Cricetulus griseus: one gene and its partner. The protein of the gene in region 1 binds, or shares a complex with, the protein of each later gene. Links are inferred from orthologs where the notes say so. Each region holds a gene or a part of one and is shown on either strand. Other genes may lie near its edges.

Region 1 (2,262 bases):
TCTCAGAGATGTTTTCTCGAACAGTTCTATGTAAAGCTATAACTTGCCCACAACACACACCCTTTCACCTCCCCATCTGTTTTTCTTTCAGCATGTGACACTATGTGACACTATGTGATGATACATAATTTGGTCACACTTTATTCTACCCCCATGCCAATGAGTGACTGGCAGAGCTATCTCGGGTCCCAACACTGGGAACGAGAACCTTTTCCTCTGCCTCTGGCACCTTTTTCCTGTTCCTTGTTTCACCAGACCACAGACTTCCCAGAAAAGAACATTCCCTCCCCCAGAACCATCAATGACATCCACATCCCAGGAGTCACTTCCTCTTACCCATGGAGGGCTCCCAGTACTTCACTTTCCACCCAGCCCCTCACACTCACCTCCTAATCCTAAGGATGCCACTCTCCAGGCCCTGTAGCAGAGCTGCTAGGAGAACGCACTAGAGTCTGCCCAGATGTGAGTTCTGCTGCCTGCCAGATGAGCAACCCACTCTAGCTCATGAGCTACTACATCTTGGAAAGCAAAATTAAGTCATGCTGTCAGATATCTGTACACTGTATGAAGATACACTGTTGTGATTGATTTAATAAAGAGCTGACTGGCCAGCAGCTGGTCAGAGGGTATGGGCGGGACTTCCGGCAGAGAGGAAATAAGGCATGAATCTAGGCGCCTGAGACACAAGACACAGAGGGGTCAGACATACAGAATGAAAGCTAAAAAGCCATGAGGCAAACAGATTAATATAAATGGATTAAGTTATAAGAGCTAGTGGGACAAGCCCAAGCTTTCATAATTAATAAGTCTCTGTGCTCCTTTGGGAGCTAGCTAGTGGGACAGAGAAAGGCTAAACATGGGGCTCAAACCCATGACCTTGGGATTAAGAGTCCCATGCTCTACCAACTGAAAGGGGAAATGTGGGAGAATTGTAGGTATAGCCATTCCACTGTGCCAGCAAAGCCACCTTGAATCAAAGGACGGAGTCAGTGATTGGCTGACTGGGATTAGCTATAGAGTTCTTGAAGGAATGAAGAGGTCTGCTAGAGAGGACAGGAAGAGAGAAGAGAGGATTTCTAGGGAGTTAATTAAGGAAAAATGTGGGGAGAAGGTCAGCCAGTGGGCTCTCTGTTGTCCTTGGGTTTATCAGGTCTTTATCTCAATTTCTGACTCCTGAGTTTTTATTATACTAGAACAATTTAGATAGTTATTACAAAGTCATACCTAACTCGGCCCATATCTCTATTCCAGGGATCTGTACCAGTTTTAAGGGGTTCCAGGTCCCTGCCACTGTAATAGAAAGGGTGATAGAGTGTACTTACTGGTACATAGTGGTTTGGAGAATTTCATGCGGTTTTAATAATACTGTTAAACACGTGTGCACATGTTCACTTACTCTCACAGACTGAGGTAGGAGAGACATATGCTAGCTAGAATGAAAAACACTCAATGGATAGTGCATGGCCTAGACCACAGGTCCATAAGGCACTTGATTTAAAGGTGGCCTAAGAGCCAGAGTAGAGACTGCTGCATCACGACACTGGAGGAGCTGGCAGGGTCACCGTTGGCTTTGGTCTTTGAGATCAGATTTGTTCAAGTGGGTAGGGAAAGAAGCTAGGGTGTCGGCCAGTTCAACAGTTAGAACGATGCTCCCAGAACATAAAGTGCTCTCAGCATTTGTTAACTGAAGTGGATGGGGTGGGGGTAGAGAAGACTTCTCAAGAACATCTCCTAGCATCCCAGGGCCTTCTATAGTCAGGCCAAGGAACCCAGGAGAGAATACCTCCACCAGTTAGTTACCTGAGAGGTGAGAATGGCAATGTGAGGCTTTGGTGACAGCAGCTCTATTGGTTGGAAAGGAAGAGAAAATGGCTTGTATATGACTGGCCCTTGGCCCTTCAAAGGCCCAGCTCTCTACATCGTCCTCGCTGGCTGAGTCAGACCCTGCCTCAAAAGACTCCTTCCACCTCTCCAACCTGTTCAGGCAGAGTGGACTTCTTTTTGTCCTTGGGGAAGAAGTTCTGTGCTAACTGAGTGGCACGCCTGTTATAAAGCCGCTTAGGCTTTATCACAGGAAGAAGACTTCGGGCCCCATCCACCTGGTCAGGTTCCCAGCGGCAGTGAGGGTGTAGCCAGAGGTAGTACATCAGACGCAAAGTCAGTCCTAGGAGGAAGCAGGTTCCTCCGAAAGTCAAACACAATGGCAAGAAGGTTCCATTGGGCAACGAGATGTTATGTGTTGCCCAGGTGCTGACCAGCAGA
Region 2 (4,191 bases), on another chromosome or scaffold:
CTGACCCAGGCTGTAGGCTTACCACCTCTCCTACCATGTAATTCTGTCAGACTTGGATGGCCACTGGGAAAGCAACTGCACTCTAGGCTGTGAGAAACCGGGTGTGGAATGCTCACACCAGCCTGTAAGAGACCCTAGTGTTAAACCCCAGCCTCACACACCAGGAAAACAAAACAGAAATGTCCGCGCCACACAGGCCCTCTGAGCAGAGCACCCCGCCACTGTGCAGCGGACAGTGAAAATGGAACATTGCAGGCTGACCTGAGCCCTGCCCAGGCTGTTTGGCTCTTGGGCTGTTCCCAGGAAGGGCTGGGACCTGCCTGCAAGCTACACTTTGTGCTTGGCTCCCGGGCACGGCAAAGTTCTACTTAACCCCAGGCAGGAAGCCACTGGGCCTGTGCCCAGGCAGGGTGGGGAACTGTAGCCTGTACAGGGAGTTTATCAGTGGCATCCACCTTGCCGGAGGGGGCAGTTATCTGCACCCAAGAGCCAGTCACATGGGGGCACCTCAAGATGTTTGGATGAGGAAGAGGGACTAGGGAAAAGTGGGTCAGGATTAACCCGGACACTGCTGCCAGGCACAGCCCCCTCCCAAATCCACTGCTGATGGGGGTGGCAGCCATGTGCCCTGCTTCTTCAGTAGAGCTCAGGTTCTGCCCTTTGCCTGCTCTGTCTGGAGTAGGCAAGAGGGCAGCCATGTGTTCAGGCCTGCTACACTGCCTTCTAAACTCAACCTTGCCATGACCTTGAACACCAGCCTTCCCCACCTTGGCCTCAGTTTCTCTTTTGAGCCCCAATCAGGCAAAAACCCAAAGCTAGAATGGGCCAGACTCCAGGGTGGGGACAAGCTGAGAGTGTTGGGCCTCAGCCACTAGAAATCTCATCAAGAATGATAATCCAACAAGTCCCTGGGACTGTGACCCAGGGCCATTCGCAGGCACTCACTCCAGGGGAGTCCTAAATCAGAGGAGCAACCTAGAGCTTTGATTCCAGCCCAGAGGGGACATCTATCTCCTTCTCCCAGGAGCAAGGACACTGGCCATTGCCAAGGACCAGGGATGACCAATATAGCCCCTGTGGACTATGGCAAGCCCGGGATGTCACTCCAACGAGGACAGGGACAGCTGGGGACATCTGATGATCTAATTGGGACTCTTCCAAACTTAGGGATGGGAAGGAACTGCCACTCTCAGAACTCCCCACCCGACCTCCAGGTAACACCATCAGGACAACAGACTCAATTCAACCCCAGTCCCTCAAGCCTGGGATACATCATCCCCGGGAACCTCTGAACTCCATATCCTCCAGACTCGAGGACATTACTTACAGGCAATGCTGCCCCATCCCATGGCCAACTTACTCTCATTCTTCCAGGCTCCCCAAACAGTGCTGTAGTCCTCCACTCACTAAGTAGAAACATCAATGTGGCACCTTTCCCCACCCCATCCCCTACAGCAGGGCCACCCCCCTCAAGTTGTCTCTCAATGTTTTCCTCTGAGTGGACATACCAAATTATTGGTGGTTTGTTTTTCATTATCACAACCTCAAGGTAGATCCTTACACTCTAGTCTCCCAGTTCCCCCAAACGTTTCAGGAAAGGCTGCCTCTCATCCATCCATAGCCTCCCCAAATTAGGGATTGTCACTCTCTCTCTCTCTTTTTTTTTTTTTGGTTTTTCAAGACAGGGTTTCTCTGTGGCTTTGGAGTCTGTCCTGGAACTCGCTCTTGTAGACCAGGCTGGTCTCGAACTCACATAGATCCGCTTGCCTCTGCCTCCCGAGTGCTGGGATTAAAGGCAAGTGTCACCACGGCCCGGCAGGGATTGTCACTCTTATCCTGTTCCTTGAGCAGGGACACCTTGGGGTTATTTCCTGACATGTTCCCTAGGCTGGGAATCTTCCCACAATGGCAGCTTCCTCAGCCCCTAGGTCTCCCCAAATCTGAAGGAAGCCACCTGCAGCACTGCTGTCCCGCACCCGAAAATGCTACAAATCTCTCCCAGATGTCCTGGGATTCCCTCCTGGCCATGATCCTCCGGCCCCCACCCCACGCCCCGTGCCGTCCCTAAACCAGGAGGCGGTCAATCTCCAGGGTCACCTCCCAGTCCTGACATCCAGGTGTTAACGACATAGTAGCTCCGTCCATGACCACTCAACCTTAGGAGTGTTGTCCCAGCCTCAGGGTCACCTCCACCCACACCCTCTCCAACTCCCCCAAACCGAGGCCAAATATAGTCGCTACTGTACCCCAAACCCCAGGGTCACTTCCCAGCCCTGTTCCGGGAGTGGGGACAGTAAGGCAGCGAGTCCCTCCAATCCGCAGCTGTCCCAAGTCTGGGGTCATTTCCGCTCGTTCTCTCTGGACTGCTTTCCAGCCCATGCCCAGGTGGGGACTACCGCAGGTGATGGCTTCCTCCATCCCGGCCCCCCAACCTTGGAGTATCTCCCCAGAGCCCCGCGGACCCCTAACCTTTTATTTGTCTCTCCAGGGCCGCATCCCCAGGATCACCTCCCTCCACCCTGTCGCCTAGCCCAGGTCGGGGGTCAACTCGAGGGTCACTCGCAGCCAGTTATTCCTCCCCGAGTAGGGAACCAAAGCTGTGGCTCCCTCTACCTGTGGGTCCCCCAGATCTGGATTCAACCTAGGTCCATGCCCCAGCCCCAGGTCTTACCCGCCGCGCAGGCGCCTTGGCCGCACAGGAGCGCGAAGCCGAGGGCCAGCAGCAGCGCCGCCGCCATGTCGCCTCGTCCAAGCGCGGCCCCGCTGCGGCGCTCTATAAGGAGGGAGGGAGGGAGGGGCGCACGCATGCGCGCAAGCACGCACGCACGTACGCGGCGTCGCGGGGCGGGGCGGGGCGTACGGCGCACAACGAATAGGCACGTACTCAGCATCCGCCGCTCGGGTTCGTCCGGTGGATGCCGAAAGCGCGGGGGTGGGGGTGGGGGGGGGAAGCGCTGGCACGTGACCACACAGGCCACACCCACAGCGCGCTGGGATCTGGATCCTCCACCTCCCCTGGTGGTTTCAAGTTTTTTTTATTTCTTTCTTTCTTTTTTTTTTCTTTTGGTTATTGGTGGTGTTTTGGAGACAGGGTTTCTCTGTGTAGCTTTGGAGCCTATCCTGGCACTCACGCTGTAGACCAGGCTGGTCTCGAACTCACAGAGATCCACCTGCCTCTGCAGGTGGATTAAAGGCGAGTGCATCACCACGCTAGACTCTCCTTTTCGTTAAGAGAAAACAAAAATCGGCGGGTGGTGGTGGCGCACTTCTTTAATCCCAGCACTTGGAGGCAGAGGCAGGCTGATCTACAGAGACAAGCTCCAAGACAGCCAGGGACGTCTGGCAGAAAACCGATCTCAAAGAAACCTCCAAAACAAAACAAAACAAAACCCTTCTGTGGGTGTTACCTGCTCTGAAGTCTGAGGCCAGAGGATCGCTTACACTGGAGTGAACATCAGCTTAGCAATATAGACCCAGTTCTCCACCAAAAATAAAAGTGGGAGGTGGGAGTAACCAGGGGTTCGGCAGCAGCCTCGGGGGTCAGCAGCTCATTTGAGGGTATTCACGCCCTCAAATGAGGATCAAGCCTGGCGTCAGAGGGACCACGACAACGTGGTAAATCACTATGGGCCTCGTGACCCACTTACACTCAGCCGCGAGTGCCTCTCAGAGGCTTGGGGGCCTCTGAACTGTCCAGAATCCCCAAAGCCTTCTTGGAGAGGCCAAGCTACGTGCAGAAGAGGGCCAGGGCAGGGGAGCTGCCAGCTGGCCTCAAAGGGCCTTAGGGTCAAAACAAACAAAACTGGGCCGAGTGAGGAATTCCTAACCCCCTGCTTGTTCTGGCCTCTGGGATCCTTCAGGTTGTCCAGGAAGCCCCAGCCCCCTCCCAGGCCGGCCCCTCCCTGACCCAACATGACCTGTAGCCTCCTGAAGTCCTTTTGCCTGACTCTGTCCTGGCCAAGAGCAGCCTGGATTAGCAGATAAAAGTGTGGAAAGCCGTCAGGAATGCTGGTGCATACCTGCCATTCCAGCACCTGGATAGAAGCCAGAAGAATCAGGAGTTCAGGGGGTCTTGGCTACACAGTTTGAGGGCACCCTGTCAAAAACAAAAATCAAACCAACAAAAACAAAAAACACATGCCAAAGAAAAGGAAAGGGAGGCTGGTGAGATGGTTCAGCTGTTTAATAGTG

What was found. The genes of interacting proteins can lie anywhere in the genome.
Region 2: the proteins of Xkr8 (region 1) and Bsg are in contact, whole or in part, in a cryo-EM structure (PDB 7DCE), measured with the Homo sapiens proteins. The link is inferred for Cricetulus griseus from reciprocal best matches to the Homo sapiens genes XKR8 and BSG. Residues at the interface, in NP_060523.2 of Homo sapiens: His232, Leu236, Val239, Leu242, Trp243, Leu246, Gln247, Arg280, Gly283, Arg284, Ile287, Phe291, Ser294, Asp295, Leu298, Ala301, Thr302; in NP_001719.2 of Homo sapiens: Trp326, Pro327, Gly330, Ile331, Glu334, Val335, Leu338, Val339, Ile341, Ile342, Phe343, Tyr345, Glu346, Lys350.

Annotation. Positions count from the first base shown.
Region 1 is NC_048595.1:20,545,450-20,547,711, reverse strand, and holds the end of Xkr8 (XK-related protein 8), read right to left. Parts: coding exon 1,950-2,262; 3' UTR 559-1,949; downstream 1-558.
Region 2 is NC_048598.1:100,513,775-100,517,965, reverse strand, and holds the start of Bsg (basigin), read right to left. Parts: upstream 2,828-4,191; 5' UTR 2,808-2,827; coding exon 2,672-2,807; intron 1-2,671.